2 linked regions of the Macaca mulatta genome follow. Each later gene encodes a partner of the first gene's protein in a complex. Links are inferred from orthologs where the notes say so. Each region holds a gene or a part of one and is shown on either strand. Other genes may lie near its edges.

Region 1 (3,806 bases):
CTTGTGCTTGGGAACACTAGATAGCATTCTAACACTATGCTTGGGGGCCATTTTAAACAGCCAAATCACCGACACAAAAGCAGAAAAATGTGAAAAACATAGCACTGAACGGACTGCGAAAAGGATGCTTGTTTATAGTATGAGAGTTGAAACAAGACGGCAAAGCATTGCATTGTTTGACCTCTGCTTAGAATGTGTACATTGGGCAATGCAAACTTTTTGCCACTCTGTGCATGTTTCACTTTGCAAAAGTGCCAAGAGTATTGATTTTGGGATTATAATAAATGTTAGCAAGCAGGAAAATTTGTTATTATAGAATTTGTGAATAATGAGAATCAACTCTACCTGTTTTCAAATGTGTACAGTTGGTATAAAAATGTATATTGTCTGGCTGGGCTCATGTCTGTTAATCCCAGCACTTTGGAAGGCCCAGACAGGCGGATCCCTTGAGGCCTAGGAGTTTGAGACCAGCCTGGGCAACACAGTGAGACTCCCATCTCTACAAAAAATTTTAACAATAGCCAGGCAGATGGTGTGTGCCTGTAGTCCCAGCTAATGGGGAGGCTGAGTTGGGAGGATCACTTGGGCCCAGGAGGTTTAGGATGTAGTGAAATGTGTTTGTGCCACTGGATCCCAGCCTAGGTGAGAGAGAAAGACTGTGTTAAAAAAAACCCAAAAACAAAAAAGTATACTGTCCATTTCTATAAAGAACTGTGGGTAAAATGGGTGTAGAAGTGTGAAAGGAAATTTGGGACAGAAAGCTTTTCAGGTTGGAAACAAAATGAAGACAAAACTAAAGAACATGCCAGAATATTGACAAGATAAAAGTACTATGGAAACAGAGCTAGGATTATTGACATTATCAATAAAATTATCCATCAAAGCAGTTAGGCATTCTCATGTACTTCTCTTAATTTAGTCATTATTAAATGGCAATTAACTATCAGAGACTATATAATGCTATTTCCAATTTTCTGACATACTCACATAACCAAAACATTCACACCAAAAGAATCAGAGATCTTAGTATATAAAATTATCCCAATGTAATGATATATACACAGAATAAAGAAATAATGTTTTATTTATTTATTTATTTTTAGATAGAGTCTCACTCTATTGCCCAGGCTGGAGTGCAGTGGTATGATCTTGGCTCACTGCAACCTCTGCCTCCCAGGCTCAAGCACTTCTCCTGCCTCAGCCTCCCAAGTAGCTGGGACTACAGGCACGTGCTACCATGCCTGGCTAATTTTTTTTGTATTTTTGTAGAGACGGGGTTTCACCATATTGGCCAGGCTGGTCTCGAACTCCTGACCTCAGGTGACCCACCCAGCTTGGCCTCCCAAAGTGCTGGGATTACAGGCGTCAGCCACTGTGTCCAGCCAAGAAATAATGTTTTATAAAAACATTAAACAATATAAAAATATCAGACAAAGATGTAACGCTCAAGTGGAGGCACTTTACACAAGCAAAACAAAACCTGAAAATTATTCTGAAATAAATTAGCTGGGCTTGGTGGTGCATGCCTGTAATCCCAGCTACTTGGGAGGCTGAGGCAGGAGAATTGCTTAAACCCGGGAGGCAGAGGTTGCAGTGAGCCAAAATTGTGCCACTGCACTTCTGGAGTGTTTTATAAACAGAAAAAGGCTTTTGGATATACAAACTTAAGAAAGTGGGACTAACATTTTTCTTCCCTGTTAAGTTCACAGAAAAGGTTCATAGAAAAAGGTCAAATTATTTTAGAGCACCAAGATAAGTGCCATTATTAAAATAATCTTTTTGGGCCAGGTGTGGTGGCTCACACCTATAATCTCAGCCCTTTGGGAGGCCAAGGCAGGAGGACTGCTTGAGCCCAGAAGTTCCAGACTATCCAGGGCAACATAGCGAGACCTCATCTCCACAAATAATACAAAATTAGCTGGGCACAGTGGCACACGCCTGTGATCTCAGCTACCTGGGAGGCTGAGGTGGGAGAACTGCTTGAGCCCAGAAGGTCAAGGCTGCAGTGGGCCATGATGGTGCCACTACACTCCAGCCTGGGCAACAGAGAGACTGTCTCAAAAAATATATATATATAAAATAATAATAATACTGTATGTATATGTATGTATATAATACATATAATATGTATGTATAACTGTACTGTATGTATATAAATACATGAATAAGTAGAAGTATATGCTTAACTTTACCCTAAAACTACAGAGCATCTACTTCATGTTACCTTCTTTAAATCTCTTTACTATCCAGTCTAGCTGATCCAGTATACTGCGGAAAGTACCCATATGATCGAGGACTTCTTCTGTTATAGAATTCAGGACCTATATCATGAATGTGCAAGAGGTGCCACATTAATTACAATTTATTGTCATATACAACTAGAAAATCAAACCTTTTTTTATAAATTAACAATGAATTTGGATTTCCCAAAAGTTTTAAAAAATCACTTTTAAAAATTCTACTGGTACTCGATGAATTATATCTAATTCATTGTTTTTTGCCTAAGTTGTGGCTAAAAGAAAATAGAAAAGAATAGCAAAGATATCAACGTAATAGGTAATATAAGAGGGCAGCAAAAACAAATGAAAAAGCTCCCAAGAACATGAGAAACATTAGAAAACTACAGTTCTATCAAAGGAAACAGGACACAAACACTATAGACACTTTTAAAAAGGAATACTACATGACTCAATATCCAGCACCCAAAAGATTTCATGTTCAAATGAGGAAGAGAGATTAAGCATTTGAAATAAAAATGATCTATGATAAATGTATTGTAAAACTATAGTCTTCACATCCTGTTGCATTTTAAAGCATTTTCACAGCATGTAGTTTGTTTTTTTTTTTTTTTTTTTTTTTTTTGAGAGGGAGTCTGGCTCTGTCGCCCAGGCTGGAGTGCAGTGGCCGGATCTCAGCTCACTGCAAGCTCCGCCTCCCGGGTTTACGCCATTCTCCTGCCTCAGCCTCCCGAGTAGCTGGGACTACAGGCGCCCGCCACCTCGCCCGGCTAGTTTTTTTTTTTTGTATTTTTTAGTAGAGATGGGGTTTCACCGTGTTAGCCAGGATGGTCTTGATCTCCTGACCTCGTGATCCACCCGTCTCGGCCTCCCAAAGTGCTGGGATTACAGGCTTGAGCCACCGCGCCCGGCCCCGAGTTTTTGCCTAATAAAGCATTTTCATAGTTTATAACAAAACTGAAGACCCCATAATTCCCTTCTTTAGAAGTACCACTGATACTCAGTGTAGTAAACAAAACTAACATATTTTCCTAAGTTTTAATACATGTCAGTTACAACGTAGGACATTCAAAGATGGTTTCAAAGCTAGATTCTTCTGAGTCCAAACACATGGTATTAAGCACTATACAATCCTACTACCGTGAAGACTAAAACAAAAATTCTTTAATACTCCATCCTCATTTATGTGGAGGCATGAATTGGCAGAGGATATAATGTTTTTCCCTTTAACATTTTGAAACTTACTGATTTCACACTGATTCCGGGAAAGAAGCCATTGATGACAACGTGAATGGAATCTTGCAGCATAGTGGTTCGAAACCTTTCTAGTAAATCTCTCTTAGAACCCAAACCATAAAGCACAATGTTGAACCCAAGGCTGTTAGGAAAGACAGTATTCATGCAATTAAACTTCAATACCTCTTATTACCAATTTTATTATCAACCAGTTTCCTTAAATTAAGCTTATAAAAAATACAGGAAAGGGGTAAGGCACATTGGCTCAAGCCTGTAATCCCAGAATTTTGGGAAGGCAAATGCAAAAAAGTTTTTCATATATGTATATATACT
Region 2 (4,509 bases), on another chromosome or scaffold:
AATAGTATTCCACTGTGTGTATACACCACGTTTTCTGCATCAGTTCATCTCTCTCTCTTTTTTTTTTTTTTTTTTAAGGAGTCTTGCCCTGTCACCCGAGCTGGAGTGCAGTGATGCGATCTCGGCTCACTGCAACCTCTGCCTCCTGGGTTCAAGTGATTCTCCTGCCTCAGCCTCCTGTGTAGCTGGGATTACAGATGTGCCTCACTAAGCCCGGCAAGTTTTTGTAATTTTAGTAGAGGCAGGGTTTCGCCATGTTAGCCAGGCAGGTCTTAAACTCCTGACCTCAGGTGATCTGCCCACCTCAGCCTCCCAAAGTGCTGGGAAAACAGGCAAGAGCCACGACACCCGGCCCAACTCATTTCTTGATAGATACTTGGTTTGCTTCCATCTTTGGGCTGTCGTGAATAATGCTGCTATGAACATTGGTATGCAAATATCTCTTCCAGACCCTGCTTTTAGTTCCTTTGGATATATACCCAGAAGCAGGACTGCGGATCATGGGTAATTCTATGTTTAATTCATGAGGCATGCCATACGGATTCCACAGGACCTTGGGCACTTCTACTATGGATGATGGGGCAGTTTCTTCACTGGCTTCCCAGCCTCCACAACTTCATATCTGCCCCTTCCCTTCCCAGGATCTTTCTAAAATGCACATTTGACTTCACTCCTTTAAAACCCTTCAAGAGCTTTCCATGGCCTTTGGGACAAGTCCAGCCTGCTCAGTTGATGCGCAGGGAACCATCTGTGGTCAGACACCACCCGCCCCCCGCTGCCCCCACCAACCTCTCCGGCCTCATCTCTCTCACCTGAGCCATCACCACTCCACCTTCCTACCCCACGCAGTTTTCTGGGCTGGAATGCCCTTGCAACCAACCACAATCCTTCCATGCCAGCCCAAAGGCTCTGAGTTCTTTTTCTTTTTTTATTTATTTTCTTTTCGTGAGGCAGGGTCTCGCTCTGTCGCCCAGGCTGAAGTGAGGTGGCTCAATCATAGCTCACTGCAGCCTCCAACTCCTGGGTTGCAGCGATCCTTGAGTTCCTCTTCATTAGTTAACTGGAATTCACTGTCTCCTTGTCCATTGCAGTCCACGGCCTTCAGGCACCGCTGGACTGGTATTCAGCACCCTCGATCGACCCTTTCCGTGTCATCTCCTCGCGGGCCTGTGAAGCTCCCAGCGCCAGACCCGAGAGGCTACGTCGAGGTTTGCAGGCAGATCCCCCCAGAGTTCCCGAGGTTACCTGTGATCGCACCCACCCACATTCCAGCCCCTTCCCCACTCCCAAGCCCGCTCCTTAAAGCCCTCATCTCCTCAGCCCGCATCGCTCCTACCGCAAGGGTCCCTCACAGGCTTTGATCCTGGCCCGTATCATGGCCAAGCTGGGCCTCAGTTTCCCCAGATGCAGAGCGACGTCTGTGGACGAGGCCCCTACCCCTTACCGCTGGGGGCAGTTCCCAGGGCGGGTCGCCGCCACGCTGCCGCTCGCAGATCAGACAGGTCCGGATGCCCTTACAACCACATTCCCGAAGGACCTCGGGGGTCTCGGCGGCGGCAGCCGCCATCGCGCCGTCCGGGTGGCCAGTGCGCAGGCGCGGCCGTGGGTGGCCGCTGGGAGTTGTAGTCCGCGCGAGGCGGGGGCACGAGGCCTAGGTTCCGCTTCCTTCCGGTCGTTAACGCCCACGGGCTCGCGCGGCGCCACCTCCTGGGCTCCGTTATCGCGGACGCCAGTACCGGGCTCCAGGAGACGCAGGGGGACGCCAGACGCCGGGGCCGCCGACTGGGTCGGCGCGGGCCGCGCCTCCTCGCCATGGGCCCCCTCTCGGCGCGGCTGCTGATGCAGCGCGGGCGCCCCAAGAGCGACCGGCTGGGGAAGATCCGGAGCCTGGAGTAAGAGCCGGGCAGGGGGCGAGGCTGTGTCCGCGGGGCCGGGGGTCGGAGGGAAGAGCGGGGACCCTCCCCAACGGCCTGCCTGTCCCCGTTATCGCCCTCTGGGTTCGGCAGAGTCGCTCCAAATGTCTTCTTGTTGGGAGATCGTGGCCCTACCCGTTCGCCGCGAGCCCCGAGGGGCCTCATCCCCTGAAGGGAGCCGGGAGAGTTAGGGGCACAGCCTGCAGCTACCATTAGAGGGCCTGGGAAGCACAGAGGAGCCCCCGAAGGATCAGGAAGAGCATCCTAGAGGGGGCTAGGATGCCCCTCAGTCCTAAAGTAGTTGCAGTTTTTTTTTGTTTTTTTTTTTTTAAGTGGTGGGGAGTCGGGAGTAGTGGCGCGCGCTTCTAGTCCCACCTACTCGAGAGGCTGAGGCGGGAGGATCCCTCAGCCCAGGAGATGGAGGCAGCAGTGAGCTGTGATCGCGCCTAGGCGACTGAGTGACGCCCCGTCTCTAAAAATAAAGTAACGAGGGGGTGGGGCGGGGCGGCTGCACTTGTGCGAGAAATGTCAGGTGAAAAAGCCTTCTGAGATAGCTGGGGCAGATTGGTGTGGGGTGCAAAGCCTGCCCTCCCCCTAAGCCTTCTGCCCCCAACTCCAGCCTGTCAGGGTTGGAGCTGCTCTCCGAGCACTTGGACCCCAAGCTCCTGTGCCGCCTGACGCAGCTGCAGGAGCTGGACCTATCTAACAACCAGCTGGAGACGCTGCCGGACAACCTGGGCCTGTCCCACCTGCGTGTCCTCCGCTGCGCCAACAACCAGCTGGGGGATGTCACTGCCTTGTGCCAGTTCCCCAAGCTCGAGGAACTCAGCCTGGAGGGGAACCCCTTCCTGACGGTAAGTGGGGGCCTCCCACCAGCCTCATACTGGGGGCCAGGACTCTGTTGGGCTCAGGCTCAGCATCTCCTGAGCCACTGCCGTTCACCCCCTCTTCCCCAGGTCAATGACAACCTGAAAGTCTCCTTTCTCCTGCCCACACTCCGAAAGGTCAATGGCAAGGATGCGTCCTCAACTTACTCTCAGGTGGAGAACCTGAATCGGGAGCTGACCAGCAGGGTAAGGGGATGAGAGGATTATTGTGTGCTTGGGAGCTATAGGCGGCATCAGGAAAGTGATGGAATTGGACATCAGGAGGATGCGAGGAGGGTGACTGATAGGGGCTCTTTGCCCTAACAGCCCCTAGCCTGATGTGCTTTTTTTTTTTGGAGATGGAGTCTCACTGCATCACCCAGACTGGAGTGCAGTGGTGCGATCTTGGTTCACTGCAACCTCTGCCTCCCAGGTTCAAGTGATTTTCCTGCCTCAGCCTCCCAAGTAACTAGGATTACAAACACCTGCCACCACGTCCAGCTAATTTTTTGTATTTTTAGTAGAGACAGGGTTTCACCATGTTGGCCAGGCTGGTCTCAAACTCCTGACCTTAGGTGATCTGCCCGCCTTGGCCTCCCAAAGTGCTGGGATTACCGGTGTGAGTCCCCGCACCCGGCCTGACTCTTATAAGTAGCGCTTTCTGGGTTTTTACTTTCCTTTTTTTTTTTTTTTTTTTTTTTTAGAGACAGGGTCTCACTCTGCTGCCCATGTTGAAGTGCAGTGGTGTGATCATAGCTCACTGCAGCATCCAACTCCTGGGCTCAAGCAATCTTCCTGCCTTAGCCTCCTCAATAGCTGGGGCTTTAGGCACATGTCTGGATCATTTTAAAATTTTTTGTAGAGATGGGATCTTGCTATATACCCCAGGCTCCAACTCCTGGCCTCAAGCGATGCTTCTTCCTCAGCCTCCCAGTGGCTGGGACTACAGGTCCCTGGGCTGTTTCGGGGTGGGGTGGGGGTGGGGTGTGTGTGTGTGTGTCTGTGTGTGTGGTTTATGAGGCTGTGATTCCAGGAGGCTTCCAGCAGGTGGCAGGATGGAGGGCTGGGTCCGGAGGAGCTGGGGTGGGCCGGGCCTGGATCTGCTCCCTCTTGCACCAGGTCACAGCTCACTGGGAGAAGTTCATGGCCACACTGGGCCCTGAAGAGGAGGCTGAGAAGGCCCAGGCAGACTTTGTGAAGTCAGCTGTCAGGGATGTCCGCTACGGGCCTGAGTCCCTCAGCGAGTTCACCCAGTGGCGGGTACGTCCCTGTCCCGATGTGCAGGGAGTCACTGGCTCTCGTATCCCTTGCCTGGAGGTCCCTGGGTGTGAAGGGCTAAGGGGCTGTGGGAGTGGGGTGAGTCAGGGTGGGCAGCCCTGTTGACTGGAGAGGCCCTTCCCCAACTCTGGAAGCACAGGCTCCCCCTGACTATGCATTGGCAGGGCTGGGGGCGCCTGGGACTGTGCCCAGCTTCCTGATGGCCTGGCCCCACCCAGGTGCGGATGATCTCTGAGGAGCTGGTGGCCTCCAGTAGGACCCAGGTGCACGAGGCTGACAGCCCAGAGAAGCCCCCAGAAGCTGGAGCTGCCCACAAGCCCAGGGTGAGTGCAGCTCCTAGGGCTCTGAGGCTGGCCCAGCCCCTCCTGCCTGGAGAAGCTGCAGGAGACCAAGGTGACCTGGGCATGGGCCCAGGAAGCACCCCAGGCCCTGACTCGCTCCCTAGACGACCC

What was found.
Region 2: the proteins of ORC2 (region 1) and LRWD1 are in contact, whole or in part, in a crystal structure (PDB 8SIU), measured with the Rattus norvegicus proteins. The link is inferred for Macaca mulatta from reciprocal best matches to the Homo sapiens genes ORC2 and LRWD1. Residues at the interface, in NP_001012003.1 of Rattus norvegicus: Val11, Pro12, Ser13, Val14, Gln15, Phe16, Val17, Gly18, Asp19, Val22, Leu23, Ser24, His25, Ile26, Leu27, Asp28; in XP_038945348.1 of Rattus norvegicus: Pro262, Leu263, His264, Phe265, Leu266, Gln267, Cys268, Ser270, Asn273, Ser274, Pro275, Leu320, Val321, Leu322, His323, Lys324, Tyr325, Lys326, Leu367, Val369, Gly372, Phe373, Cys374, Pro596, Pro598, Val599, Ala600, Val605, Ile630.

What each region holds. Positions count from the first base shown.
Region 1 is NC_133417.1:106,027,405-106,031,210, forward strand, and holds part of ORC2 (origin recognition complex subunit 2), read right to left. Parts: intron 3,616-3,806; coding exon 3,483-3,615; intron 2,322-3,482; coding exon 2,225-2,321; intron 1-2,224. UniProt on the Homo sapiens protein: Component of the origin recognition complex (ORC) that binds origins of replication. DNA-binding is ATP-dependent. The specific DNA sequences that define origins of replication have not been identified yet.
Region 2 is NC_133408.1:49,716,476-49,720,984, forward strand, and holds the start of LRWD1 (leucine-rich repeat and WD repeat-containing protein 1), read left to right. Parts: upstream 1-1,682; 5' UTR 1,683-1,812; coding exon 1,813-1,892; exon of another isoform or gene 1,893-1,910; intron 1,911-2,246; exon of another isoform or gene 2,247-2,396; intron 2,397-2,532; coding exon 2,533-2,767; intron 2,768-2,869; coding exon 2,870-2,986; intron 2,987-3,898; coding exon 3,899-4,039; intron 4,040-4,275; coding exon 4,276-4,380; intron 4,381-4,509. Other genes in the region: ALKBH4 (alpha-ketoglutarate-dependent dioxygenase alkB homolog 4), read right to left, coding at 1,445-1,567. UniProt on the Homo sapiens protein: Required for G1/S transition. Recruits and stabilizes the origin recognition complex (ORC) onto chromatin during G1 to establish pre-replication complex (preRC) and to heterochromatic sites in post-replicated cells.